Regions from separate parts of the Mus musculus genome. Here all the other regions are reported to be linked to region 2. Evidence: microRNA targets listed by miRTarBase, many of them from high-throughput screens and not tested one by one. Region 2 holds a microRNA gene; each other region holds the end of a gene's coding sequence.
Evidence for each region. The annotated mature microRNA mmu-miR-139-5p reads UCUACAGUGCACGUGUCUCCAG and lies in region 2 at 4,711-4,732, shown strand. An mRNA with a match to its seed (bases 2 to 7 or 8) in the 3' UTR can be bound and repressed. Matches are read on the target gene's strand: a 7mer-m8 pairs with bases 2 to 8, a 7mer-A1 pairs with bases 2 to 7 and ends in A, and an 8mer does both.

Region 1: miRTarBase lists 6030458C11Rik as a target of mmu-miR-139-5p. Seed matches in the 3' UTR shown: 7mer-A1 at 5,268-5,274.
Region 3: the mRNA of Slc1a7 is a reported target of mmu-miR-139-5p. Seed matches in the 3' UTR shown: 7mer-m8 at 5,934-5,940.
Region 4: the mRNA of Smco1 is a reported target of mmu-miR-139-5p. Seed matches in the 3' UTR shown: 7mer-A1 at 6,295-6,301 and 7mer-A1 at 5,943-5,949.

What each region holds. Positions count from the first base shown.
Region 1 is chr15:12,804,620-12,812,446 of GRCm38, forward strand. It overlaps 6030458C11Rik (RIKEN cDNA 6030458C11 gene), which reads right to left. Exons shown (of 9, transcript NM_029998.3): 8 at 7,314-7,453; 9 at 3,558-6,225. The coding sequence ends at 6,093. Among named protein-coding and RNA genes, the nearest start is that of Gm41274, 10 kb to the left of the region's middle.
Region 2 is chr7:101,470,672-101,477,671 of GRCm38, forward strand. It overlaps Mir139 (microRNA 139), which reads left to right and starts at 4,705; the gene lies at 4,705-4,772. The region is part of intron 1 of Pde2a (phosphodiesterase 2A, cGMP-stimulated); the gene reads left to right.
Region 3 is chr4:108,011,307-108,018,969 of GRCm38, reverse strand. It overlaps Slc1a7 (solute carrier family 1 (glutamate transporter), member 7), which reads right to left. Exons shown (of 11, transcript NM_146255.3): 11 at 5,441-6,739. The coding sequence ends at 6,521. Podn (podocan) reads left to right here. Exons shown (of 13, transcript NM_172874.4): 11 at 28-176; 12 at 1,066-1,263; 13 at 3,275-4,177. The coding sequence ends at 1,237. Among named protein-coding and RNA genes, the nearest start is that of Podn, 17 kb to the left of the region's middle.
Region 4 is chr16:32,272,827-32,280,559 of GRCm38, reverse strand. It overlaps Smco1 (single-pass membrane protein with coiled-coil domains 1), which reads right to left. Exons shown (of 3, transcript NM_183283.3): 2 at 7,255-7,404; 3 at 5,779-6,847. The coding sequence ends at 6,403. Rnf168 (ring finger protein 168) reads right to left here and starts at 3,099. Exons shown (of 6, transcript NM_027355.2): 1 at 2,145-3,099. The coding sequence starts at 2,451.

The DNA.
Region 1 (7,827 bases), not on the chromosome of region 2:
TTTTCCTGGTATCTTTGTTCACTTATACATCTGAAGTGTAAAATCAGTTTCATGAGTTAAAGTGAAAGTGTCCTAGGGTGTATGTGGTTACTCACACCTGTAATCCCAACACCTGGGCAATGAAGATAAGGCCTAGAAAGGGAAGGAGGGAGGCAGCAAGAGCTTTGTGGGGCCTCGAATGGCAGAGGATGCAAACGAAGATGATGGAGGCAACCATTAAACACAAGCTGATGGCCTTGGATAGTGCAAAGCTTAGAATGGCACAGGAGAAGAACTGCTACTTGAGAAAAGGCTTCCTGGAAGCCACTGACCAAGGGCCAAAGATCATTCCCGACTGTTTGTCTCTGATCTAGTCACACCAACCAACCTGGCTGCTGTAAATGTCTGGGAGGCAACACTGGTCTGGGATGCCTTTTGGCCACTTTTAGAGGGGAACTGTTGTGGCTGCTTAGAAGAGGCCTCTGACTTTCTCAGGAGGGAAGCAGACACCTACCTGAGATCCCTGGAAGAGCAGAGCAGAACTGGAGCGATGAGCAAAGCCCCAGTGATCTGCACTTTTTGTCTTTGGCCCTCAGTATCAGCTGCCTTGTTGGTTTTTGATGCAGAGCCTTGCTGTGCAGTTCTGGTGGCCTCCACAGCTTGACAGACGTATCAACGTCAAACACATGGTGCTTTTGCTTGATTTTATAACAGCCACATGCTAATGTGTGGGTGCCTGAATATTGAATACTGTTTATATCAGTATATCATATCTTTCTATAGTCATATCCTCATTTGTGTTATTTAATATGAAGTTCTATTTGTGCAAGTTACACTAAAGTCTAATTTGTGGGTATCTCGCTTTGAATTATAACATCCTATTTGCTGACATTTTATGACTATATGCTATTTATCTGGGAATCTCTCTAAGGCACTGTGTGGCCTGTCTCAGTATGATACCAGATAAAAGTCAAATTACTAGTCTATTAATACTCAAAAGCAAATAAAGAGTTTAAAAAGCTCTGTTATGTAGCACCTAAAATTTTTATATTGAGAGAATTTCTTTTTTGTCAGAATTTCATTTTTCCCCCCACAAAGCGAGTGTTATATTGCAATTTGAGGCCCAAATGACATCACCTTTCTCTCTTAATTTTCTAAATAACTGTATCACCATTACAGCTGTTGATAAGGGACAGGATTACAGCTCTGAGCAACAGCTTTCTTAAGGTGGAGTTGGTCATCCATTGGCACCCCTGTTAGCTACTCTTTGGGGCCTTGTCTTAGTTAGGGTTTTACTGATGTGAACAGACACCATGACCAAGTCAAGTCTTATAAAAAACAACATTTAATTGGGGCTGGCTTACAGGTTCACAGGTTCAAAGGTTCAGTCCATTATCATCAAGGTGGGAGCATGGCAGCATCCAGGCTGTCATGGCGCAGGCAGACCTGAGAGTTCTACATCTTCATCCAAAGGCTGCTAGTGGGAGATTGACTTCCAGGCAACTAGGGTGAGGATCTTATACCCACACCCACAGTGACACACCCATTCCAACCAGGTCACACCTATTCCAACAAGGCCACACCTCCAGATGGTGCCACTCCCTGGTCCAAGGATAGACAAACCATCATAGGCCTACTTTCAAAACTTTGCATCGGAGGATGAAGACAGCAGAACAAATCCTTCTAGAAGAAAAGATCCCATGTTCCTTCATTTACTCTTTGACCCAGGAAGGAATAGAGAGGCAGCGCAGGGCTATAGCTGTGCTTCTAAGTGGATGGAAAGAACCAGAGGTGGGGAAGAAACGTCGCTGCTTCAGTGGTCAGCAATGCTCACCCAACGCAGGGTAACTTTAGGGATCTAAACTTCATAGACACAGTTCTTGGAAAATGATGTCAAAGGTTATGCTTTCCTCTTTGGAACATGATTCTCTTCAGGTCTTATTCATGTCAGATCACAAAAGATCCAACCATCCTTGACCATGTACGTACAAGATTAAAAATGTTACTGGGTTGGCAAAGGGGTTCCATAGACAGTCCCCTAAACATCACAGGCTATTGTCAAGGCTATTGGCTATTGATCAGAACTGAAAGGTAAGGCCCAGTCGCTGAAGTGACCTTTCTTATGTCATCAAACAGAGAAAGAAAGCTGGTGTGTGGGGCAAGTGAGAGGTGTGACTTGGGGAACAGGCCTGGGACAACGGTGAGGTTGAGACATGTCCAAACTCCCAAAACTCATCTTGAGACTGGCAGGAGTAAGGATTGCTTCTTTCCTCTTCGGGGCCTGCAACTCCCTCGTCCACCACCGAGGTAGCCATGCAGCCTGATAGCCGAATTACAGGAGTAATGTGCTCTCTGCCTACAAGGACATGTTCATCAAGCACCTGGAATTCCTCTTCATGCAAATGAAGCGTTCCCAGCACCGCAGCACCAGTTAATAATTTACATCCCAACCTGCTACCCACTCCCCAAGGTTTATATAGCCCTTATTAACCCCCTAATAAAGAAGCGGTAACACTGAAAACTCTCAGAGAAGGCTTCTTCCTCCACAAAAACAACCCCCCCACCATCGCCCCCCCCACCCCCGGCATTCAAGACAAGCGTGTTCCTGCAAACCCACCCGGCCTGGATAAGCCTGGACAAACCTGCTTATGCTTTCATGCCAGGCAGCTGAGCTACAGTGCCTGAACACACGGAAGGCAGAAGCAGAACTGGCCTGCGCTGGTGCCCAGCCAGAAGTCTCATCCCTGCTGACTACTGTCCACAGTGCTGGAAGGTACTTTGCATGTTGGAGGAGTAAAGTGGTCACTGGCATCACCTGGCTACAAACCCTACAACTTACAAACACGGTTTCAACAGTGGTGCAAGCGTTACGATTGGATTGAAGACTTTGTTAAGATGGAAGATATGCTTGGCACTGCTCAAGTGGCAAGATACCTGGGACTAAATTGGTCATAGGGCTAAGGGGAAAACCTACTAGAATCTTGCCAATGGTACAGAGCAATGAAATGACTCCTAACGACACACTGCTATACGCATAGATCAGAGTATTGTCCACCCCTCATCAGAGATGCTGCTTTGTCGTAATTAATTCAGAAACCCATAACTGAGCAATGGGCAGAGCTGGAGACCTCGGCGCACAGCCCTCAGTGGAACGTCTCCATTACCCCCTGCCCTCAAGACTTACGGATCTACGTGGAAGAGGAGGTGGGAAGATGGTGAGAGTGGTGGATGACACCAAAGAGAGAAGACCGACGGGCATGCGAACTACAGAGACTGTGGCAGCACGCACAAGACCCGCAAAGGTTAAAAGCAGACAAAATCCCAGCACTGAGAAGAGAAAGTAGGAAGAAAGCCCTACCTGCTACTAAAAAGCTATCTATAATTGGTATTTTCTGGGAAAGGGGCAATGAGTTTAATGAGTTTTCTCCAGAGGAGCGCTACTGGGCATGTCGACAATTCTAGTGGCAAGTACCATGAAAGGGGCAGTTGGCCTACACAAAATACTCTTGTGTTTTTTGTGTGTGACTTTTGGTACCTTTTTTGACCTTTTTTTTTCCTCTTTCCTTTTTTGTTTTTGAGAGATAGACCATGGAGTAGGAAGGGGGGATCTGGGAGGAATTATACAAAATACATTGTATGTAAAAATTTTTAAATAAAAGTTAAATCTTAGGGAGTTGAAAAGATGGCAGAGCAGTTAAGAGTACTGGCTCCAAGTCCAGGGGATTGGACACCTTCTCTGGCTTCCATGGACACTAAAGCCATGTGGTACACACATATACATGCAACACACTAAAATAATAAAAAATTAAAAATGTTAGTAGATGCTTATTTTATTTAGTAATTTAAAAAGTTTTATCCAACCCAGGTTTAAAAAATGATGACTCACATCAGAGTCCACTGCAGTTACAGTAACCCATCAACAATAAAAAACCAAAACCAAAACAGCTAAAACTCAATTAAGTCCATGCACTGACACGAAGAAGAATTAGTTCTATAGTTTGACCTGAAACCCTTAAAGCTTCCAAATACAGGATTTAATTTCATTTTGCACATAGACTAATTTATTCCTAGAAATGTCTAGTTATAGAACTCTTTAACAAGACATTTTCAGAGCTTAAAAACAATTTTACAGTTCTGAGTTTGGAAGAACACAAATCTTTTGATTATCAGGATGGAAGGCTATCAGTTGGTTTTATTTCCACAATACAAACAAGCTTTCATAGTATTGGATTTTTGTCAATTTCCTCAGTGCCAAGAGAATTCGCCAGAGGAAAACATGAGCACGGTAGGAAGAGTACGCACCGCAGGGCAAGGGTAAGGCATCCTGGAGAACTGGCCGCTTCGAGGTAGGTCACTCTGATCCTGGCTACTCCCCTCTCCAGGCCCACGTGCAGGCGAGGGTTGAAAACGGGCTGTGAAGACAAAAGCTACTGTGCTCGCCAGGAGTGATGGATATTTATTTTTTCTTTACATATCATCTTACCCTTTAAAGAAATTAAGCAGTTATAAAGTAATTACTGAACAAAAGTGCAGGGAACAGGCAAGCAGAAATTAGCTTCTAGGATAAAGACGGTCCCATTCACGCCTGGTGGGGTGGGAACTCAGGGTAAATAGTAGTGGCTGCAGCCACTCTCTGGCTAAGGGCAAACTTGGCTCATTAAATATATGAAGCATCATCTTCAATGCACGGCGCAGAAAACATTCTCTTCTCTATGCAGTGACAGGTCTTTCCAATAAAAACTTTATGTTTATATGTTTACATGTGGGTATGTACACGCATGCGTGTGTAGTTTTGGAGGCCACAAGAGAACACTGGAGTTGTGAGGTTGTGGGCTGCCATATGGGTACTAGGAACTGAACTCCAGCCTTCTGCAAGAGCAGCAAGTGCCCTTATCTGCTTAGCAACTTTCTAACCACTCGACTGATTGACTGACTGCCAAGAAAATGACACCTAGTGCTTAAATGCTTAATGCCAACTGAGGACTATAATGACCACCAAGGCAAAACTCCCAAAAGGCGTTTCCACTGTAAGCAGCTGGGCAGTGGTGGTGCACGCCTGTAATCCCAGCACTTGGGAGGCAGAGGCAGGCGGATCTTTTGAGTTTGAGGTCAGACTGGGCTACAGACCGAGTTCCAGGGCTATCAGGGATACATAGAGAAACCCCGTCATCTCAGAAAATCAAAACCAACCCATCAAAAACAAACGGCCGGGCATGGTGGCGTACATCTTTAATCCCAGCATTTGGGAGGCAGAGGCAGGCAGATTTCTGAGTTCGAGGCCAGCCTGGTCTACAGAGTGAGTTCCAGGACAGCCAGGGCTACACAGAGAAACCCTGTCTCAAAAAAAAACCAAAAAACAAACAAAAACCCCAAACCAAACCAAACCAACCAACCAACCAAAAAGAAACAAACAACCCAAACAAAACCTACAACAACAACAAAATTTTGCTTAGGTGTATTCAACCAGACCCCTTGCATACAAACAAGTCTGGAGAAGATCCAGCAACCGCGTGGGCACAATTCCAACACGCTTAGCGCGGCAGACTTTCTGCAAGCACCGTCATGGACTGGCAAGGGTCTTCTGACATGCCATCTGCGAATGTTACTTTATACTTATGGTCAAGGGTGCCCTGAGAGCCGACAGTTCTCCAGACGCAGCCGTGGCTCTCCCTTTTCCCTGAGACTGCTGTGGGCCCTTATTTGCTTCTCAGGTCTCCCACACGAGGACAGAGCAGCTTGTCTTTAACAGAGTCTGGCTCTCAAAAGTGCTAAGTAAACATCAGCGAATAAATAAATAAATCTCATATCATCCAAACCCTTGTTGGGGAAAGAGAAAAAAAAAAAACCCCTCTTACAGAATCAAAGGCAGCGATGGGAAGCAAGGAAGATAACAGACAGTCTCCATCAACCGGGGTAACGGATTTGATGTGAAAACAATAAAACCAAACAAGAACCCCTGCGTCTACCCCAAGTGTTGTATGTGGTTGGTCACTGATACTTGCGTGGAGATTTCTGATTCCAACTGAGAGTTAACAAGAAAGTGCACTCTGGAAGCCCAGAAACAAAAGCCGGGTCTGTCACTGCGCCAAACTGCACAGCAGCCTAGCACGGTCTCAGCTCAGAGGGGACTCTTCTGAGTACACCAGGTGAGTGTCCAGGGTCCCGTAGAGTGAGTGCAGCACATCGAGGACCTTTCCCTGAATCATGTCAACTTGTTCCGGAGGACAGTAATCATCCAGACTTGACCTGGAACCAAGCGGAAAGGGGGCAGAGCAGAGTGAGAACAAAGTCGCCCGTGTGGAGGCACAGCCAGTGCACTGCTGCCAGCGAGGGCCACAGGCGACTGTGGAGTCACGGCTGAGAGCAGGGAGATGCTTACCCCACTTTTGGTGCTTTACAGGAATTGTCCTTTATTGTTTTCTAAAATGATATTCTATAGGACAGGTATAATACTAAGGATTGGTATTTGATATCGAGATGGGACATTGCTAAGCAGACCCCAAGGCCTCAGACTGGTTGTGTAGACCAGGAAGGTCCCACAGTTCCTGTGACCTTCCTGCCTTTGCCTCTAAGTGCCTATCTTAAGCATGGCTACCACAGCTGAACTCAGGCCTGTATTGTTGGGTGGCAAGCACTTTACCCTCAGCCACCTCCCCAGATCACCTTCAGCAAGCTCACCATCTCCACATAGGTGAGAAAGGGCTGTATTTCAGGGTAAGGCCATTTTTTTTTTCTTAAAGCTTTATTTTTATGTGTTTGTATTGTATGTGTGAATGTGCAGCCATGTGTGCCGGTGTCCACAGAGTCTAGGACAGAACACTGGATACCCTAAGATTGGAGTTGGAGTGGTGAGCTATCCAATGTTGGGTGCTAGGAACAGAACTCAGGTCCTCTCCAAGAGCTGCCAATGTTCTCCATTGCTCAGCCATCTTTTCTGTGTGTGTGTGTGTGTGTGTGCGCGCGCGCGCGTGTGTGTGGTGGGGGTAGGGCCACGGGTGAGTGGGGTTTAAAACACACAGCTTTAGGAGAGGTCCTGTTCTTTCAGCATTCCTAGCACCCGGATACTACCTGCCTTCTTCACTGACAGCCCTGTTCCCCACCTTCAAAGACGGCAGGACACCATCTTCTAACTTTATCTCCATTGATTCTGCTATTTCTGGCTCCTCTTTCTAGGCATCCTGTGACAATACTGACTCCAGTCAGGTAATTTAGGATCATCTCATTTCAAAATCCTTATATCCACTGCACTGCAAAGTCCCTACTGCCACAGAGACAAGGCACCCACAGGTTCCAGAGAGCAGGGTATGGACATCTTGGATGGGCCACACACTTACCTTGCAATTGTCACAAGAGTAGGTTTTGGTAGACTTTTTAATAGAAAATACACAGACTGAATAAGATACTCAATTTCTTCTTCTGTGCTGATATGATGAGGAAGTTCTGAATAATCGCAAGTTAGCCCAGCCTGGTGGACCTGACAATAAATAAAATGTAAAATGATGCAATGAGCTGGGGAGACGGCTCAAGGGTAGACTGTGTGCTTAGCGTGCACTGCACTGGGCTCATGGTCCAGACTGAAAACAAGACTTCTAAAGGACATTCTAAGACTTCACTGACTTCAGACGACTCTAGGGACAATGGGCAGTGAGGGGACGGTCAGATCCTTGAAGTTCATTGACCTGTGAACCAAGGTAAGCGAATGAGCTTCAGGTTCAGTCAGAGACATCTCAAATAGAGGCCACGGGACAGTGAGATGGCTCAGCAGTGAAATGCTTGCTCCAAAAAGCCAGGCTCTGAGTCCAATCTCAAGAACCTCCGTAAACGTAGGAGAACCATCTATAGAGTCTG
Region 2 (7,000 bases):
TCCCTAGTTGAGTTTCTACCTGACTCTGGGCCTGCTTCCTAGTACATGAGAGTTGGGTTGAGCTGTCTCAGAGCCCCCAGGCTGGGCTAAATGGGCCCAGTATCTCAGCTGCAATTCGTGCCCCTCATGGCTCCTGTAGGACATTCTTCCTGGGCCATGGAGATGGAGGGTTCAATGTTGGGTCAAGGTGGGAGAGTCCTAGGAGTTAGGGAATGGAGGGAGGGTTGTCCTGCAGGCCTCATCTAAAATGTAGCATTCTAATTCAAGTCAGAGTCCCTCTAGTCCCCAGGCTGTCCTGGAGGTGGGACAGGGAGAAAAGGGCCTGCAATTTGCTTGTTTTCTCCAAGGTCAGTGCATCTTAGCCATACATATTATCTCTTGGCCTCCAGAGGAGCTGAGACTGGAACTGGGGCCCTCTCTCCTCATGCAGACTTGCCTTTCTCGACTTGCCCAAAGGTGGTCCAGCCACCTACAGTCCACTGAGACAAACCTTGGTAGATTCTAGCTCTGGGGAAGGTACTGTTTGCTGATCAGACCATTGAAGCCAGGGAGGATGTTTGGTTGGTTGGTTGTGTGGCTGTTTTGTTGTTGCTTTTTAAGATCTGTTGAGCACGTGTGGCATGTGCTGGAGCAGAGAGGTGGGTCCTGCTCTCAGGAAGGCGATGGAGGAGGGGAGCCGTGCACATGGCAGAGACTCTGACTCTGGAGATGCCAACACTCAGCGACAGACTTATATGCTCATTTAGACACAGGACCAGACACCAGGGCATTCATGATCTCCCAGACAGCCACACACTCATGAACATAGCAGACTCAGTCAACCTTAAAGATACACATAGGGCCACATGGATACAGCGGATACATGGATACATGCACTTTGCTCTTCTACAGTTTTCCACAGAAGCATAGACCACATACTTTCACACCACAGATGTTTCTCTCATGACCCAAGGGACATATTCCGCTATGGTCATGTGATGGTCCTTAGGGACACACTATTATGGATGGCATGTGTTTAGGTCACCAGTAAAGTAAGAGCTCCCAGCTCTCCAAAGAATGAGGGGTAAAAAAAAAGCCAGTTCTGATGAATGTACCCAGAGTTTCACAACAAGAAAATAGTCTCAAATGCTGTTAAGAGTCTCCTTTGCAAAATAAAACTTGTTTTGCATTACCCAGAGGGTCTGAGGCTCTGGGAGGAGGGTATTGTCTTTCAGAGACCCCTGGCTCACCCAACTCTGGTGTGTATGGAACTGTGTAAGCATGTGTGTGTGTGTGTGTGTGTGTGTGTGTGTGTGTGTGTGTGTGTGTGTGTGTGTGTACATGTATGTCTGGCCCCAGCTTCCAGGCCCTGAGGATATGAGGAGGGAGAGTGGGAGAATTTCTGCAGAATCCGGATGTTTGTTCTCTAGCTTCTGGGCCCTCCAAAGGCAAATAAATAGCTTTGGATGCCAGCCTGCTGCTGGGTGGGGCTGGATGAGTGCATGAAGAGCCTGCTTTTGTCCCTGGAACCCCACCAGCTGGGATCCTGTACATCAATGCACAGTGACGAAGGTCCTGGCCAGTTTCTGCTGTGCCTCTCTCTGGGGATTGGTTCTCTCAGCTGAAAAATGGAGGTAGGGAGGAGGTGAGTCCCTTGGAGATTGAGAGAGACAATGACACTTGGGATCTAGAACAAATGAAAATAGGATGGGGGTGTGGAGACCTGGAGGGGATAATAAGAGTACAGATGCAATACATGGGGCCCCCGGAGCCTACAAGGTTTCCCCAGCAACTTCATGGTTCCCTGGAGGATGTGCTGGGTCCCTGAGGCCTAGCCCCTGCCCTGCTATATGTAAGGAGCAGGGAGAGAAGAGATAGAGATGAGAGCCAGGGAACCAGACAGGCTCCTGAACCAGGCCAGGGCTGGGCCTGAAAGGTCACAAGAGAAGAGAGGATACTGGGGTGTAGGAAATGGGGGGACAAGAGTGCCAATCTGAAAGGGATAAAGAGGGTCATGGGTGAAAGTCACCCATTGAGCAAAGGCCTGAGTTTGAAGAGACTGGGCAGAGAAATAACTCAAAACGTCAGTGTCCTCTGCTCTGGATGCTGCTCTGGAGCTGCCATGGGAAAGTTGCCAACAGCTCCTCCCAATCTAGGAACCCAGACCTCAGAGGAACAGGGAACAGGGCCACTCCACAGGGGAGTGGGAACTCGTGGGTCACACTTATGTTTTAGCAAAGTGCTGCACAGGGTGAGGGAGCCCAGAGAGAAACACAAAGACAGGAGCATGCCTGAGATGAACCCTCTCCAGAAGATTCCTCACACCAGCCCCCCCGGCACCCCCCCCCCCCCAGTAAAGAAGGGCTATTTTTAGGAACAATAAAAGTGCTCACACATTCCAGCAGGGGCAGAGAGAGTGAAAAGAAGGGCAGGAGTCAGCGTAGAGGAGGAATCTCTCCTCCCTAGGTTTCCTTAAAGGGTTTCCTTGTATGTTGGGGGTCTTCCCCGGCTGGTCCTGGCCTCGACAGTCCTGTCTCCTATCCCCTTCTGACTCTCACGTGTTTCCTTGTTTCTGAATTGGTCTCTGTCCCTGTATGTCTCATACTCCCATTCTCCTGGGATTTGGGGAACAGTTGGGACGAGCCAAGTTGTGAGGATGGAGCCAAATACAGTCAGAGGAGGAAGCAACATGAGGCTGTGGAATCGACATACACCAAAGAGACACACCAAGACAAGCAGACACAGAGGTCCCTGGGGAGGTACTGGGAGGGCTGGGGACACTCAGGACCAACCACCAGGCAGGTACCATGGGACACTTAGTTCTCTGCCCAGCACCCCTGGTCAGCCCTCCCTTCCTGCCCTTCTGTAAGCCATACATCGCCCTGTGTCAAGTCAGTGCCATTTAGCATTTATTATCTATTGTGGGCACAGGAGGGAAGGGGACAATGGAAGAGCGGGAGACAAGAGGCTCCACCCAGGCCTAGAGAGAGACACCCAGTCCCATTCCAACATTGGAGAGATGACAAGTCTATCCCTTGGCCAAAGCAGGACTTGAGAAGTCCAAAGCCACAGGAGAGAGGGCCTCGCCCCATGCCTTTAGGGGAGAACCTGGCTATTTTTTTTTTTTTTTGTCTCCTCTGACCTTCCATACACCCCATACCAAACTGGGCATCCAATGTCATGACACCTGAGGTCTAAAGACGTTGGTCTCATAGGAATTCCCAGGAGGACTGGGGTGGAGACAGGTGTTCCCCATGTAGATGACGTCCTTGAATAAGAGGTGCTGCTCACCTGCTCTTCCTGGGACCCTAGGCTTTTCCCACTTGGAGATGATCCTGAAGAGCAGAAGGTCTCCTGGCTTGCCAGATACCTTGAAAATGCTGTCAAAAGTTCTCAGGGAAAAGCATCCTCTCATTCCGTGGGCTGTTTGTCTACGTCTCTCATCACGCCAGACTTGGGATACAGAGACCGCCATTGTCTCCCCACCTGGGACCTCCAGGAACTCCACTTCTCTGCTCAGGAGGTCGCTGGCCTCCACCATTTCTGGGCTCTCATTGGAGACTAGATGATGCTAAGAGCAGAAGAGCTATGGGACAATCAGGATGCTGTCCTTTCCCCCAAAAGCTCCTGGCCTGATGGGGGAGCCAGAGAGGGCAGTGTGGCAAGGTGATGACACACAGCACCGGGAAGGAGCATCCATCAAGTTGTGAGGGTCCGAGTGAGCAGACCATCACTGGCTCTCTCACCCACCCACTCTTGTCTGACCATATCTTTTCCTTTGGCATACTTCCCTTCCTGACACTGGTCCAGCTAGTCACTCGACATTCCTTTCTCCTGAGTGGACCATTATGTCTGACTTGCAGAGGCTTCTAGGCTTGCTGGGTCAAGCTCTGGTCCTATCTCCAAGGCCACATGAGAGGTGGGGTCGTAGACATTCAGGCTCATAGAAACCGGAGCAGGAGGCCAGCCAGTTCACCGAGACCCTTTCTCGGGGTATTGATTCCCAGAGTCTCTTCTTTCTTGTACACCCTGGGGAACAGTGTACCCAAGCTTCCTTGATGCCAAAACATCTCCCCAGACACAGCTCTGAGTCACAGATACTCACCACAGTCCCCAGTGACTGTCCCACTGTATTCAATTCAACTCTCATGGTCACAGAGGCAGGAAGGTTAGAGACCACAGGAAACCAAGATGACGGGAATTGTGAGGAGACTATGGTGACATGTATGGGAGCTGGGCCTTACTGGTTAGAAACCTGAGGGCTATGGGGACAGAGTGGTCCTACTGTGTGGAGGAGGCAACTGAAGATGGGTAGGGTGAGGAGAAGTCAAAGTCTGACCCAACTCAACTCATCTTAAAGCTTCCAGGCCAGGGCCATCACCTCCTCCCGATACTGGGCTCTTGTCTCCCTCCTCTTTCCATTTCCCTAATCTTTCCCTTCTAGACTGGAGAGTAGACTGTCAGTCTGAGAGGACTAACAACCCCTGCCTTCCCACCTGGCTGCTTCTCCTCCTTCCCACTCTCTATCACCACACTTGGCCCTGGATGGCTTTAAAGGGGTCAGTACAGTGGGAGTGCCTGGGGTAGAAGTTCAGCCTGGTTGGGGAGGAGTGGGAGGTCCAGGGGGGGACCAGCTATGGTAAGGGATGAGAGAAGCCAACAGTTGTCCCAAGGGTCCCCCTCAGGGAGTGGAGGTTCCCCTGGGAGGCGCCAGGACAGGCGCAGGTGTATTCTACAGTGCACGTGTCTCCAGTGTGGCTCGGAGGCTGGAGACGCGGCCCTGTTGGAGTAACAACTGAAGCCAGAGTCTTCGAAGGGTGGTGGGCTAAGGGGGAAGAGGGCATGGTGGGCAAAAGAAAGGGGGTGGGGGAGAGAGAAAAGGAGGACAAGGGGGCCCCTTCCTGTAGTACTTGGCTCTTGAGCTGCAGGTGGCTCCTTCCACGTGCCCCTGTGTCACCAACTCAACGATGGCCACAGCTCCTTTTCTCCTTTCTCACCCTTATGCCTCCTCTCCTTGGGGATCTTTCTTGTGGAGTCTCTTCATGTGGGGGTAGCATCCAGCTGTCCCCATGGCTACCCTCACTGGAGAAAGGATCTACCTTCCCTACATCCCGGTCTTTACACCCCTGTGCCTCTAAAGTGGGGTGAGTGAAAGGCACGTCTCAGGCCAGCAGCAGCTAGAAATTGGGGAGTTGGTAGTGCAAATTCATCAACCTCTTCCCAGACCAGCTGATGCAGAAATTCTGGGGTGGGGACAGCACTGTGTATTTCAACAGTCCTCCAGGTGACTCTGGGCCATGCCGTACTTTGGAAACCACTGAGGGACATCTGCAACCACAATCAGTACCTGAGAAAGGTACCTTCCCTTCCCCATAGCCAGAGTCACTCAGGGCTTATGAGGTGGCTCACTTGGCATCTGGGTTGCCCAACATCACCTAGTCTCTTTCCTTTCCTTTTGCTTCTGGCCCAGCTCAGCCTTGCTACTGGGAAGTCGTGGATGCAAGTGTTAGCACACACAAGCAGCTCTTGTAATATTTTCAGGTGACAGGTCTGTTAGAAACAGCTCTTTGGGCAGGTGGCAGGCGTGGGCGGTGGGGAGGGAAAGGAGCCACCTTCTCCTGCTTCCTCTGTTTTCTGCCTTGTGTCTGGGCAGCTGTGAAGAGCCAGAGAGGAAAACTGGGCTTCTGGACTTGGGCTTGGGCTAGGGACTTTCCTATTCTGAGTTTCAAGGAGTCCTCTTAAATAGTTATACTAAGTAACCTAGCTCTGGCTAATGGAGGTGTGCCCTGGGCATGGAGATAGATGCACTCCCCATTCTCCAGGAAAGATTAGGAAATGTGTGCATTGCTCTCCAGAACAAGAGGATGGAGACAGAGAGGGGGGCAGGTGGCATCTGCTCCAGGCTCCTGGTTTTCCCTACCGTGACCACTTTCTGGCACCTCTATTCATGGCTGCATTCTGTCTGTTGATGTTCTCCCCCCATGTTCTCAGGATGATTTCTTGGAGATCTGGGGGAGGAGTGGGCAGGAGAGACAGGAGTGATTGGGGTGGGGATATGCAGGAAAGAGAAGGAGGGTGGGCAGAGAAGCCTTCCCGGAGAGAGAGCCAGGATGTGGAGGTGGAAATGACATGGCAAGACAGGAGAGCAGTGTGTGACAGATGGACATCGCCTAGGGTATGATGGGGAGAGGCAGAGAAGCACTCGGAGGGACCAGAAGAGCCTGACCCAGAGGGATGGAAAAAAGCAGACAGGCAGAGGAGCTCCCAGGGAATCTCCCTTTGGAGGAAGATATCAGATTCCAGTCTGTGAGGTCAGCCCCTAACCTCAGGCCAGGAGGAGACACAGAGCAAGATGGATCGGCAGAAATGGTTCCAGGGTACAGTTTGGTTCTTACTCTGGAGTCCCATGTTATTACTTTCTTGTAGGGAGTCCAGGTGCCAGCAGCAGGGCGAGCAGATGGCAGGTTTGTGAGTTAGGAAAGTCATGGAGGGTTATAGATGCAGAATAAGACAGCATCTTCTGTCAGTGACCCCTTACTCAAGGCCATCTGTCCCTAAGGATGGCCCCAAAGGAGAGAAGACCAAAATTTCTGGTTTCATATGATCTTAGGAAGGAGTTAGAAGCAATTCAATCTGGGCCCTCTGCTCTCCCCAGTCGAACACACAAATGCTGATTCAGGCCCAGGTTTCAGAAAACTGGCAACCGCCCAGGTTTCAGAGAAACCCTGGTTCCAACAGCATTGTCCCCTTTCATGGTATCTAGGGAGAAAGACCAGCACACAGGAATGGCGCTGTCTGCGGTGCTGATGGCAGTCTCAGCCCACAGCAGCAGGTAGAGAGCCGCAGGTAAGGGAGCTGCAGAGAGCAAAAGAACTCTGTCCATTCTTCCACCTACTGTCCACAGACTACCACTGACCCTCCACCTATTTTCCTACCCACCCACCCACCCACCTACCCACCTGCCTCCCCTCCATTTCCTATCTCTTTACCCATTTGTCCACCCACCCACCCATTTCCCTTT
Region 3 (7,663 bases), not on the chromosome of region 2:
CGCACATCCCCCCCCCCCCCCCTGCAGCTGCTGGACATCGCTGGGAATCAGCTCACAGAGGTCCCTGAGGGGCTCCCCCCATCTCTGGAGTATCTGTACCTGCAGAATAACAAGATTAGTGCCGTTCCTGCCAACGCCTTTGACTCCACTCCCAACCTTAAGGGGATCTTTCTCAGGTAGGAAGTCCCTGCCGCCCTGCTCTCATCCAGACAGCACTATAACAGTAGAGGGACAGCTGAGAGCTGGGGGAACAGCTGGCAGCTAGAGTGTGGGTGTGGAGCCTGGCTGAGTACACTGCAGGACCCCCACAAGCCCGTGCCACCTCAGCCCCCGAGAGTGAGCATACCCTGCCAGGCTGCAATGGCTCACAGGTCTGCTAGTGGCATCAGAAACATTCAAAACAAGTACAGGGTGCTGTTGATGCTAATGTGGTACAGGAGGAAGCCCAGAGAACATCTCACGAGTAACCCCCAGCTGTGAAGACATGGGTGACAGCTGTGTTCAGTCAGCCAGGTGGGGCTCAGGTGTCAGACCAAGAACACAGACGCCTGGGGCCCCACTGGGCTCCGGGGTTAGGACTTCAGAGAACTCAGACCTCACAGACTCTGGCTTCTTCTCAGATGCTCCCCCACCCCCCATTCCAACTCGACCCACTCAAATCAGAGAGAAGACAGAATAGAAGACAGGCCCAGGGTGGTGACACTGGGTGGTATGACCCGGCCTTCAGTGTTGGGCTGAGTACGTTCCTTACAGCTCAGCCAGGCCTTGCCTGTGTGCCAGTCAGATCTTGAGGTTAGTGGGGAAGGGCAGCAGAGGCATCTCTCTGCACATGAAGTGACTATGCATAGAAGGAGACATTCCTTGCCTTTGCCACCCCCTTCCTCCAAGCTAACGGTGTCCTGACAGATCTCTTTGTCAGGGGTGTACTGTGCTTCTTCACGCACCCCCTTCAAAACTTGCTGTAGCACTCCCAAATACCACCCCTCCCCCCTTTCCCCTCTGAGCTGGGTAGGTGTGAGGGCATCAGCCAGGCCTCCTGCCGCTGACCCATGGACCACCACTCAGGTTCAACAAGCTGGCTGTGGGCTCCGTGGTGGAAAGCGCCTTCCGGAGGCTGAAACACCTGCAGGTCTTGGACATTGAAGGCAACTTTGAGTTTGGTAATGGTTCCAAGGACAAAGATGAGGAAGAGGAAGAAGAGGAGGAAGAGGAAGATGAGGAAGAGGAAACTAGATAGGACAAAGTGACATGGATGAAACCCAGGTGGGTGGTCTGTGCGGGTGTGAAGGCACCTCTCACCACTCCCTGCTGTCCCTGACCTGCCTTGGCTTTCTGTGTGTCAACTTCACCCTGTCTCTGTTCTATCCCTTCATTTTGAAAACCTGTCATTTCGTTTGCATGCAGGATTGCACCATGTGAGGTGTGTGTGTGTGTGTGTGTGTGTTTGTATGTGTATGTATGTGTGTATATGTGTATGTGTGTTTGTATGTGTGTGTATGTGTGTATATGTGTGTATGTATGCGTAGGTGTATGTATCTATGTGTACATGTATGTGTGTATGCGTGTATGTGTGTGTGTATGTGTGTGTATGTGTGTGTGTGTGTGTGTGTGTGTGTGTGTGTATGTGTGTGTGTCTGCTTGCCCACAGAAGCCAGTTTGTGCTAAGGCATTTACTCTAGCTCAGGGAGATGAGTACTGTGCTGGGAGATACTCTGGGGTACAGAGACTCCTAAGTCTGGGGCTCAGAGGAAAGGCCTGGGCTGGAGATGGGAATCTCATCACTGTAGGCCTTGAGATAGGGCTAGATACTGAGGGGCTAGAAGAGCTTGTCTAGGGCAGGGAGGGAGGGGACAGCCATAGGTAGTTAATACATACACATACATGTAACACAAGCATCTACACATGTGTACATATATACATACTTTAGTCCAAGACACAATCATAGGCCCATATCTGTGTGCACACATGTGCCTATGGATATATGCATGGAGGTGTGTCTGGGTACCTATTCACACAGGCTTACATATGACCACACTCACACACACACTTAATACATTCATGGACTTCTCTAGATGTAGGGGGTAGGGGACTAAAACTGCTTCAGTACTCAGAGTCTGGAGGTGGGTACTGCTGTCCATAACTGAATGTGTCTACATGGAATGCTTGTGACGTCATAGGGAGCAACTGAGGGAGAGGTGGGGGTGGAGAGGATGACTGGGAAGGCAGGGAGTGCAGTAGCCAAGGGGAGGCCACGTAAAACTCAGGTAAAACTGTTTGGCACTCCTTTTGGCACTGGTGGCAAGGATGCTCATGGGATATGCTGTGGAGGGAGGGTAGTGCATTGAGCAGCATGGGTATGAGGGCTGCTGGAAGGATTGCAGGAGGTTGGTAACTGTCCCAGTGTGGAAGGAGGGCCAGGGAACTGAGTGGCTGCCGTCACAGTCAGGCTTGATGGTTGGGTCCCAAATCCCATCAGCCCGAGGACCTTGGCTTTCTATCCATGGCACAGAATTGGATTCCTTATGGCTGGCTTTTTGTTCAGGTTGTGGCACTAGGCTTGGTAAGAAGGAGGGGCAGATGGACATATTGGTAGCAGAGGCATGGGGAGGAAGCTGAAACCTGGGAGGTGATAGCAAGTGTCCAGGCAGAGAGCAGTGATCGGAAGGGCTAAGGTTAGGTAGGACTTCAGGGAATGTGCTGGGAACTATGAGGCCAGGGTGTGGCCATGGCCACAGTGAGGATATTGACTTGAAGTAGAACATGGAACAGAGGGGAGCTGGTAGTGGGGGGAGGGGGGTTGTTGATATATAGTGACAGCTATGTGGACGGATGATGGAGACAGGGTGTCCACTCATGAGAGCAGGATTTGTGACAGGGCTGTGAGCCTGGAGGGGCAAACCTGACTCCAAGGCCAGCCGTCGAGGTAGAGTCTCTGTCCTGAGGCACAGTCCTTAAAAGCCAGGGGTCGGCAGGAAAGGGTGATTGCTATCGCATGAGGACTGCTGGTTCTCATGAAAAGGACTGTGGAGTTCTGGGGTGAGGGAGAAGCTTCCCGCTTTGTGGAATGTTGGCCATGGTTAAGTCAACTGAATGGACTGCTGGAAGAAGCCCCAGGGAGCTCTGGATTCAGAGCTGGGAACCTCCTGGTTCTACACTCCCAGGGGCTCCTCCTTCTTCCCACTCACAGCAGCCTGGCTTCTGACACCCCCTTACTTTGATCCACTTCACCAATGGCTGGTTGTAGCTAGTCCTGACTCTCCAACATGTTCCACAGGACGATGGACTACCGGACTCCTTTCTGCAGCCCAGGCCTGTGCCCCATGAGCGCCCCCTTCTGACACACCCAACGCTGAGCCCAAGAGGCACCCGAAAGTCACACGGGCTGAACACAGTCTCGTGTCCCACCCCTTCCAGCAATGTGTCACACAGTCAGACACGTGCAGATACCACTTCACCACCACGCCCCCAGTTTGGCCACGTAGATAGCCAGCTGCATATGACCTTCCAAACTGGCTCTCTGCACAATCTCACACTGACACACACACACACACACACACACACACACACACACACACACACACACACACACCCTCACCTCTGAGTCCACACTGGCCTGGTAGACTCAGGCAGCTACCCTCTCCCCTATTCACTTACACAGAGTGACCTATGCTACCAAAAGCTCTTGCTTCCAGACAGCTCTGGTTGGAAACAGTTGGCCATGTGCCTTGTCCTCTGGTCCCTCCCTTGGAGACGCAGGGTTGTCTCCTTGCTCTGTGGCCGGGTGCTTTTCACTCTTTGAGACGCAAAAGCTGGCTTTTGTTTTGTGCCTTCCCTATGGGGACTTGAACCTTCTGCCTTCGACCACAGCCTCACCTCCTCCCCCCAGGTGCTGGGCACTCCTACTGCTGGGAGTCCCTTTTTGTTGTGCCCTGGCAGGTCACAGGCACTTTCAGAGAACAGCCTCAAGAAGGCTTGGAAGAGAAAGAGGCAGCAGTGCGTGGTGGGGGTGGGGTGGGGTGGTGGCAGCTGCGTTGGTCTTCAGTTCTGCAGGGAAGTTCTGGGTACCTTTGGTTTTGTTTAAGGAGAAAAAAAAATATATATGAAGATAAAAATCTCAAAGCTGATTTTTTTCCTGTTACAGAAAAACTAATATAAAGTATTATCCCTGCCCTTGCAACCATGCTGTGTCTGTGTGTGCTTCCCTCCAGGCAATGGGCTGGCATCTGCTCAGGGTGGGCAAGATCCAGCAAGCAGCACCCCTGACCAGAGGAAGGAGGGCCAGCACCAGGACTGAGGGGCTCCACGGGAGTGGCACAGACAGAGGAGGGGTGGGGCATAGTAGCAAGGCAGGAAGGCCTGGTGCGTAATATACTTCTGGGTGGACATCTGCCTTTAATGTTGGACTGCTATGCAGGCCTGCACATTCCCCCTGTGACCCCTCCCCCAAGCTGAACCTCCAAACAGATGACCCATGGGCCCTGGGCTATTTAGAACCCACCTGGAAAGTCACCTTTGCATGGAGGTACTGTTACTAATGTTACCGGGTGGTTTGTGCTGTCCAAACAGAGAGGTGGCAGAAGGTGGGTCTGAGGGCTCCTTCAGAGCTGATTTGGGGACAAGGTCTTTTTAGGTATTCCCAGGGACAAGGTGAGGGGCACAGCCACTATGCCACCCCAGTGAGAGAGAGCTGGGGTTGGACTGAAAGCTGTAGGGAAGTTGAACCTAGCAGTGATGTGGATCTAAATGGCCGAGGGATCTCTCTGCCCCAGAGATGTGTGGGCATCTGTCAAGTTCACCAAACTATAGAATCCTGCCTGTGGCTAGCAGGGGCAAACAACTCGATTCCTTAGGGGTCTCAGGGAAGGTCAAATAAAGTCCATTCACATGAAGGAGAAAGTAACTGGTGGGACGTTTGAGCTTTCCCAGATGGTCAGCAATCAACTGACGAAGGATAGCCATGTGGACCCATAATAGAACCATAGAGAGTGGTAGCATGGAGGGGGGTGGGGGTGGGGGTGTCCTAGATCTGAGGCCCTTCCTGGAGTCTTTACACTCGAGGGAGGAAGGTAGATATGGTTTAAAAGTGAGGGTGTGAGCTCTTGGGGAAGCCTGTCTCTTTCCTGGGTCTCATGTGCTCATGGGCCTGGTATACAACCTCTCCAGACCACAGAGTTATACCCCTTACCCTACCCCCACCCCCACCTCCAACCCCACCTAGAACAGATTGTACAATCTCTTTCCCTTAGGCTTTTTGGGCCAGGCCCTTCTCCAAGGCAAACCGTTAATCAAGGGCAGCTTCCTTCCATTGAGATTTCTTCCTTTTCTGAGGTTTGATTTCAGGGCCAGGGCCCAGACCAAGCTGATTTTTAAGCAAGGCAAGCCCTGCCTTACCTTACCCTGTCTCAAAGCACAAAGCAAAACACATAGTCTGTCACATCCATAAGTCTTGAAAAAAAAACAGACTTTTATTTATCACATTATCGCAAACATGGAAGGGACTAGGGACTCTTGTTCCATTTTGCCACACAAAGAGTTCTGACCCCAAGGTACTGCTAGTCCCTTGGCCGGAGCATCCCAAGCTGGGTCTTTCTCTTTATGGCCGACCTTGCCCACCCATCTCATGGAAGGCTGACTGGGCTGTACCTGCTCGGCTTCCCAGCCCTAGTGGACATCAGTCTCCATATTAGATGAGAGGTCTGGTGGACAGAAACGGACAGGCTTGTAACGTGTGAAGGCAGAAGGTCTCAGACCTGGGATGGACCAGACTTTACTGAGTTAAAACCACATGCTGTGGGCTGGAGAGATGGCTCAGTGGTTAAGAGCACTGACTGCTCTTCCAGAGGTCCTGTGTTCAAATCCCAGCAACCACATGGTGACTCACAAACCATCTGTAATGGAATCTGACCCCCCTCTTCTGGTGTGTCTGAAGATAGCTACAGTGTACTCACATACATAAAATAAATAAATAAATCTTTAAAAAAACCAACACACATGCTGTGGGGTGGGGCAGGGTTGACCTGGCCTGGACACAGCTGGGGCAGCAACAGGGACACTGTTGTTCTATCTTCATGAGTTGGAAGCTGTTGTGGCCGTGGGGACCTGGAGAAGGCAGAGCCTCTTTCACTGTTCCCTGCAGGCTGCCTTGTTTATTAGAACAGAGTGGCGGAGACTCCAAAGACTTGAATTAGCATCCTGGCTATGACTGTTCTTTCAGGGAGTGGTTTTAGCTCTCGGGCTCCCAAACTATTTTTCCACAAAGTATAGACAAAGACCCCTACCAGGTACCTTTGTGTGCTCATGTAGTAGAAACTGTCACAGCTAGGTTCTGGGCCACAAGAGCCATAGTTGCTGATGGGTCTCTGCACATAGTTGTCTCTTTTTTGACACTCTTTCTCATCAGTGACTGACTAGCCTGTCAGGGTGGAATGTGCCAGCCTGCGCCAGGTGTGTTTTGAGTTTAGCTCCTACCCCTTAGCCCAAACCCCAGGGTCTGGCTTGGCTCTGCTGCGGCCCTGCAGGTTCACACGTTGGTCTCTAGCTCACTGATCTCAATAGTACAGTGGTCTAGGCTGGCAGCGGCTGGATCCTCATCCTGCTCTACCTGGACTGGGATGTGGTGGGGGCACGTGGGGCCCAGGGTTAGCTCTGAGGCCTCAGCCACACTCTTCACACAGCCATTCTGCTGGGCAGCCACGATCTCCTGCAGTGTCACTGGCTTGGTCTCACAGGGTAGCAATTTCTGGAGAGGAAACAAGGCCTCATTAAACATTTAAAAGTGAGGGTGTGAGCTCTTGGGGGAAGCATGTCTCTTCCCTGGATCTCACATGCTCATGGGCCTGGTATACAACCCCTCCAGACCACAGAGTTATACCCCCTACCCTACCCCCACCCCCACCTCCAACCCCACCTAGAACAGATTATATGATCTCTGTCCCTTAGGCTTTTTTTTTTTTTTTAGATTTATTTATTATTATATGTAAGTACACTGTAGCTGTCTTCAGACACACCAGAAGAGGGAGTCAGATCTTGTTACAGATGGTTGTGAGCCACCATGTGGTTGCTGGGATTTGAACTCTAGACCTTCGGAAGAGCAGTCGGGTGCTCTTACCCACTGAGCCATCTCACCAGCCCTCCCTTAGGCTTTTTAAGCCAGGCCCTTCTCCAAGGCAAACCGTTAACCAAGGGCAGTTTCCTTCCATTGAGATTTCTTGAGGTAGGTAATGGTGCTGGGAGCTGCAGAAAGAGATGTTCCTATAAACACAGCTGGGTAGCCTTGGCAGGTTACAGGGCTCTCTAGGCGCCAGTTTGCAGGCTGCCTTGTCTCCTGCTGCCTATTTTGGTAGATGAAGGCCTTGTCTTACAGAGTCCAGTGTGGAAAACAGTAGCTTCCCTACCTGAACCCCAGCTTCCTTGCTGTGAAGAGGGTACAGACTCCTATATATACAAGCAATCCTAATTACCACACAGCACCCTGCTGCACCACAAACAGCTTACCCTAGGGACTAGGTTTCTTAGAGGGAAGATGTTTTCTCACTATTTCACTGGCTAGATTGGGGTGCCCTGCAGGGGGGTCCTCCACGAATAGGTGTTAAAGAAGCCAGTCACCTGCTGAGGCAAAGAGCCCAGAGCTGTGGAGGATGCGACCGACTGAAGGCTTTCTGGT
Region 4 (7,733 bases), not on the chromosome of region 2:
GGACACCTGGCAGAGAAGAACTCTCCTCCCAATTCCTCAGCTAGCTGTTAAAAGCCCCCTACTGTTACCGCTCAGGGTTGAACTCCCCTGCCTTGCTCAGCGTGTGGAGTTCGTCCTCAGCTAGCTGAAAATAAAACCTCTTGCAGTTTGCATCAGGTGTGATTTTCTCTCGAGTCTTTGGGGTGCCGGCCAGCTCATCCGGGGACTTGAGCAGAGGCCCAGCTTGGGGGGGGGTCTTATATGCGGGGGCTCGTCTGGGATTTGTGGCCTACCCCAGGTCTTACAGTAACACAGGCCTCTTGTCCTAGCTTGAAGGAAGAAACAGGTAGACTGTTATGATTTCAGGCTAGGCTGGTCTGCACCTCTTTATTTCCATGATCTGGAACCTGTCAATTGTGTTCCTGTGTTTTGCTATGGCAAAATGCATCACATAAATAACTTGAGAGAGAAAAGATTTAGTTTGGCTCGTTCAGAGGTTTGCATTTATGGTTTTATGCCTGTGCAAGGCAGAAACATGATTGTGAAAAAGCTTGGTAGAGGAGAGGTGCCCACTTCAACTGCAGTCAAAAAGCAAACCTGTCACAGGCATTTCCAGTATACTTCCTCCAGACAGGCCTCACCTAACAGCCCAGCTGGGATAAACTTATCAGTGGACTGATCCAATGATGTCGTTAATGCTCTCCATATGGAATCACCTGAGTAATGACAGCTAGAACAAAGCCTTCATCCCACATTACAACTTTAACAATTCCATTTAATGAAAGAGCAATATATTCTGTTGCAGATATGTACATTTAGTTTATCCATCCATTGATGTCACTTGGACACTTCTACCTTTTTGTCCTACTATTTTTATACATTTTACAAGTTTGTACTAATATGTTCTCATATTTCAAAGGCGATTAAGAGGAAGGGCCTTCCTTTTCATATTTGAGCCACCTGAAAACAGAACTATATATTCAAAAAAAATCTTTCAATTGGGTTACAAAAAATTAAATTTTCGCCTTTAACTCAAGCACTTGGGAGGCAGAGGCAGAAGGATTTCTGAGTTCGAGGCCAGCCTGGTCTCTACAGAGTGAGCTACACAGAGAAACCCTGTCTCAAAAAAAAAAAAGAATGCTTACTGTTCTTCCAGAGTACCTGGGTTTGGTTGGTTCCAAGTACTCACATGACAACCTATAACTTTGTCACTCAGTTCTAGTTCTCCTGCCTCTTCTGCACCACATGCACATGAGGCACTTACATTCACACACTCTAAATACATATTTTAAAAAATAAGAAATCTCAAGTTTTCCCTTCCGAAGTATCTGCAATTATTTAATTCTGCTACCTCCACAGATAAAGAATTGTTCTTAAGAACAGTAATAGTGATATTCTAAGACAGGGGCTATTTAGCCATGATTCATTGACAGGACAAATCTGCCCCCCCACTTTTTGTTTTTCATAAAGTTTTATGGAAACACAGGCACTATCTTCATTTACAAAGGGTAATGTAAATTAATGTATTGACTACGGTGGCTTTTGTTCTACAGTGGCAGAGCTCACCAAGTGTCTTCAGTAGACTATATAGTCCACAAAAATACTTACCATTCTGCCCTTATAAAGGGCAACCCTCACTAATACTACTACATTATAAAGGACAGGTGTGTAATAGCACACCTGCAACTCCAGTATTTGTGAGGCTAAGGCTATCCCATGCTACACAGTAATAAAACTGTGTCTCAAAACATGTCTAAAAAAATGTTAAAAAAAAAAAAAAAACCCTAATTCACAGCAGATGAACACAACTTGACCATTACTACACGTGATGTAACTCTGTCCTTGACTTTAACTGATGTGTGGGCAGGGCTTATAAAACCACAAATCCTCACGATTCAGACTATTTAGCCTTCTTTTTCTTTTTCTTTAAATTAGAAAATGATGGTTCGAGCCCTGCGATGGTGGCTCATACCTTTAATCCCAGAACTCAGGAAGCAGAGGTAGGTGGATCTCTGGGTTCGAGGCCAGCCTGATCTACATTGTGAGTTCCAGGACAGCCAGGGCAACACAGAGGAACCCTTTCTCGAAAAGCAAAAACAAAAATGGTTCCCTTTCAAAGGGATTTTGGGCCGTTTTACCCAATAAACATGCTTAATTTTACTTACTGATTTCCTTTGATTCTTGTCCAGAGATTCTAAGCTTGCATTCCTTTGCATAGTGTTTTTGAATAATCTCCCACAGGTCTGTATTGACCAGAGAATTTCTTCGGGTATGGTACCGAGTCCACGAAGAGACCCGGCGACGACAGAAGGGACAGCATAGATTGGCCTTTTCAACAGTGGACTGGAAGCATGGGTTACAGAGCGTGTGGTTGCAAGGTAGGGTTACAGGCTCTAGGAGGATTTCCATACAGATCCCGCACTGACATTCGGCTAAGGAAGGGATGGAGGTTTTAGGTGCAGCCATCTTCATATGCTAATGAGACCTACCCAACGTTAAAATCAGAAAGGGACTAAAGTCGTCTTTCGCCTAATCACGCCCAGAACGGAGAAAAGCAGCGAGCCGTTTGGTGTTTACTCTCACACACAGCAGCGGACTGAGATCCAGAAGGCCTGAGTTCCCACGGGCCCGAGACAAGCAGGAGCTGTGATGTCAGGTCAACAGTTATGCCCTGAGTCCAGCAAGGGAATGAAAGAACGTTCCTCCGGGAGTCGGCGGCCTCGGGGCGGAGAGTGGTTCTGTCTCCCCGCGCCACACAAGCGCTCATCCAGCTCCCCTTCTTACGCGGTGAGGACCCGCCTCTACGCGCGAGGCGGCCGGGCTTGCCAGAGCCGGAAGCCCGGGCACCGCCGCTCCCAGAGCACCCGGTACCGCCCGGAATCCGGGCTCGGGCCGCCGCGGGACTTCCGTCTCGCCGTTGCGGTGGAGGCAGCCCTCCAGTGCCCACGCTCCAGCTTCTGGAACACCTCGCGGTACCCCCCGGGTCCCGAGACCCAGCCGCTCGCACCCGCTGTCCTGCCAATCGGTCTACTGGCCGCGGCCGGAGCAGGTACCCGGGCTCCACGGACGTCACAATTCCCCGCCAAAACGGCACGTCTTCCCCCAAGGAACCGCTCAGTCGGGCGGGACTTCCGGGAGCTGCGTCTGCGTTCCCGCCTAGCCTGCTAGTAGCAACTCCTCCCGCTTTTGGTCGCTCGGCTACTGTAGGCTGCAGAATCTTGCTTACTCAAGTAACTCTCTAAACCAAGATCCGAACAGGAATTTTTGTAATTATTCTTTCAGTATTCTTTAGGCTACCCTTCTCCTAACAAAGCTTTCTAAAGTTCTTAGTGCTAAAAGAAGAAATTACAACAAATTTACCTTAAAGATTTTTCTTAGCATTTATTTGCAACACTAGCATTTTATAGAATGAGCAGCAGATATTGGCCTTATAGACAAGTGACGCTCAAGGAGAGCAGCAACAAAGAGTTACACCTGTGGTTTCAAAGAATCCTTGTAAAGGTTAAATAAGGTGGGGGTGATATCCTTATGGTACTGGCTAAAACAGCAATGTAGAGATTTGGCTGTTATTGCTTTCCCTCTTGTTTTGGGGGTGCTTGGCTTGGGCCCTCTACCCCAGACTTTAGCATGAGTAAATGCCTATTGGGTTTGGTATGTGGAGTCTGAAGAACTCAACAAGAGACCCATTTCTATAATCAATCCCAGCATTTGGGAAGTAGTCACAAAAGGATTATTATAAACTAGCCTTGGCTACATAACTGGTTCCAGGTCAACCTGGGCTATATGAGACCCTTCCTCAATTGGTCAGCTGGTTCCCAAAACATTGCAGGCAGAGGCAGGAGGGTCTCTGTGAGGTAGAGATCAGCCTGGTCTATACAGTGAGTTTAGTAAGAGACTCTGTTTCAAAAAGGAAGGAAGGAAGGAAGGAAGGACCTCTGAACTAGGCATGGACACGTGTGTCTTGTAATTGAGGCATTTAGGTAGCAAAGGCAGAGGCAGAAACAGGAGGACCTGGAGTTGGAGTCTGTGATGGTTTGCATATCCTTGGCCCAGGGAATGGGACTATTAGAAGGTGTGGCCCAGTTGGAGTAGGTGAGTCACTATGGGTGTGGGCTTTAAGACCCTCATCCTAGCTGCCTGGAAGCAGTATTCTGCTAGCAGCCTTCAGATGAAAATGTAGAACTCTCAGCTCCTCCTGCACCATGCCTGCCTGGATGTTGCCATGCTCTGGCACCTTGATAATGGATTGAACCTCTCAATTTGTAAGCCAGCCCTGATTAAATATTGTCATAAGAGTTGCCTTGTGGCCAGGCGTGGTGGCACACGCCTTTAATCCCAGCACTCGGGAGGCAGAGGCAGGTGGATTTCTGAGTTCAATCCCAGCCTGGTCTACAAAGTGAGATCCAGGACAGCCAGGGCTATACAGAGAAACCCTGTCTCAGAAAAACCAAACCAAAAAAAGAGAGAGAAAAAAAAGAAAGAGTTGCCTTGGTTATGGTTTCTGTTCCTCAGATCTGTGACAACTTGGCATTTATACTTCTTTCTGTGTCACAGTCCACTGAGGTCTTCAGCTTCCTTTCTAACGACTTAAGGCCCACAAGCTTGGCAGAAAGTAGCAAGACTGTCCTGGAGCTGTGGCTGAGACACTGACATAGGTGCTGGGAGTGGAACTCTGGTCCTCTGGAAGAACTATACATGCTCTCAGCCACTGAGTCATCTCTCCACCCCTATTATTTCATGCTTTCAATTGATTAATTGCCCTTCAAAAGGCATTCAAAATTCAAAATGTTCAAATTGAGCAAGCAGTCTGACTCTTCCTAGGGAAATATAAAGAAATGTCTGTTTCGCCTAGACAGGGCAAAGACAGACCAAAGAAGAGATTCCAACCAAGTCCAGCGTGGTGAACCAATGAGTTCATTGGTCTTACAGGAGCATGGGTGTGGGTTACTTACAGAGGCATGGATGACTTGAAGGCAAACCATCTAAAATCCCCACCTCCGTGTGGGGATGACCCCCAAAGCTGCACCACTGCATTCTGAACCCCAATCAACTGCCCACCTCCTGTACAGTCTAGCGTCCCACCTCCTGTACAGTCTAGCGTCCCACCTCCTGTACAGTCTAGCGTCCCACCTCCTGTACAGTCTAGCATCCCACCTCCTGTACAGTCTAGCGTCCCACCTCCTGTACAGTCTAGCGTCCCACCTCCTGTACAGTCTAGCGTCCCACCTCCTGTATAGTCTAGCGTCCCTGAAGATTAGGTGTGGCTGGAGCAAGAGTATGTACAGCCTAGGTCTGGGGTTGGAGACTCAGGGGAAAGTAGCATTTCCCTTTTCCATCAACGAGGAAATGGCAGTAGGACTGATCTCATGACCCTGTGCTGTGGCCAATCACAGCTTCTCTGATTCGAGACAATGATGTCATGTCCTGTCTAGAGAAGTTCTACTAGCCAGTGAAAACAATTTCTTTCCCTTTGACTCTTAGATTCTTAGTCCTCTACCCCCACCCCCCCCAAAAAAACCCCACATCACTTAAGTATCACTGCAGAAGTGGATATATCTAAACTTATACACAGTATCCTTTGAAGATATTATAGGTATGCTGGGCAGCCATGGCTATCCAGCACTTGGGAAACAGAGGCAGGCAAATATCCAGGTTTAAAGCCAGCTGAGGCTACAGACACAGAGAAACTATGTCGTGAACAAAAAATTGTGTGTGTGTGTGTGTGTGTGTGTGTATAAAATTGTTTTTGCCCCTTTTTGTATATAACATTATAAATAAAACACCAAATCTGAGTAATGATTCCATATAAATTTCTTTATTATGTATTTGGTGGTATCAGGGATTGAACTCAGGGCCTCATACATACAAAAAAAAAATGTAGCTGGGTGGTGGTGGCGCACGCCTTTAATCCCAGCACTCGGGAGGCAGAGGCAGGCTGATTTCTGAGTTCGAGGCCAGCCTGGTCTACAGAGTGAGTTCCAGGACAGCCAGGACTACACAGAGAAACCCTGTCTCGAAAAACCAAAAAAAAAAAAAAAAAATGTACTCTGGGCTACACCCCAAATTCTACTTCATTATAAAATATTTGCTTCTTTTTCAAATATGGCTACACACACAATGTACATTGTATCCATTTGTCATAATTTCTTTAATGTTCCTTCCACTTTTGCTATAAAATAAGCCTATAAAAATTAAATTATGCATTTTTTTGGTTTTTAAAATACAAATGACCGCCGGGCAGTGGTGGCGCACGCCTTTAATCCCAGCACTTGGGAGGCAGAGGCAGGTGGATTTCTGAGTTCAAGGCCAGCCTGGTCTACAGAGTGAGTTCCAGGACAGCCAGGGCCGTACAGAGAAACCCTGTCTTGGGGGAAAAAAAATACAAATGACCGAGAGTGGAACTGCTGGGTCAAAGGTAACAGGTTAGTCTTTAACTGGGGGCATCAACTCTTTTAGGGGTGCCCTTGAGTTTTCAGGGTCCTGTGCTTGTTTCCCCTTCTCGATGATCTGAACAGCTCTAAGCAATCCATCCTGTAGAGCCTGGTTCTTTACCATGTTGGTGATCATGAAGGAAACATCTTTGATGTACATCCGTCTTACGTTGGCAGCATAGTGCTCTCCTTTGTTGCCATGTACAATGAAGAAGGTACAGAGTGCTGAGACATCCCTCTCCTGCAGCCCGTACTCCTGCAGGACAGACTCCCACACAAGCCTAACATGCTTGTTCTTGGCTTTTCTTCTAAGGACAGAGGCTAAGGTCGGGAGACTTCTCACCAGGTCTGGGAGTTTCTGAAGCATTCGAGTGTGCAAGCAAATAAGGACCTCGATGACATAGCTGTATACAATATTCAGTTCCATTGAGGTGAACCTATGAAAAACGGGCAAAGCTCCTTAAATGGAACATTTCATGCACAAACAAAAGCTGCATTTGATTATGTTGGTGCAATGTAAACCCTCTAGAAAAAACAGCTGCGAATTTCGGAAGTATGACCTGCACCAACTGCATAGCCAAGTTCCCAGGCCACCCATAGGGGGCGCTGTGCATGGAGCAGGAACTTCTTTACTCCCTTCCCATCAGTAAGACAGCAGGTAAGAGACCCAGAAAGTGTATGCTGCAGTGCCTGGCAGGTAAACAGGTGCTCAGACTAACGCCTTCTGTGTGGAGGAACCGAGCCCAAGCGACACCTGTGGGGATCGTGCCAAGCTCGGTTTTGGAATAGCCACTAAAAGCTCTCACAAAGCCACAAAAGCCAGGATTTCTTAACCACTGCTCACCCAAGGGCCAGAGCTGCTGTCCATATCTCATCCTGGGCTGCTTGGCTTGCCAAAGTCTTGCTATGGTGTTCAAATCGAAGCGTCAGATTATCCTTGGTGACGTCCAGTTCTTTGAACTGTGTGTCTAGAGCTCTGAGCTTGTTGTCTACTCTACAGGGTTAAAGAATCAAAGGAAGTTCAGGTCAAGAGAAACCTAGAGCTCTAACAGGTTATTTATGCCCCTACCAAGTTTACACAGGCACTGTAGTTAAATTGCTAACAGGGTTCTTTTCATTTGCTCTGTGTGTGTGTGTGTGTGTGTGTGTGTGTGTGTGTGTGTGTGTGTGTACGCGCGCACGAGGGCACGTGCAAGCGCACACACGTGTGCACGTGTGTTAATGGTGGTGCTGGAGATTGAACCTAGGGTCATTCCTTCTCTAGGCAAGAGAAGACTGTGGGAAGTCCTTGCTCTCTACAGGCCTGCCTCTACCACCCAGACC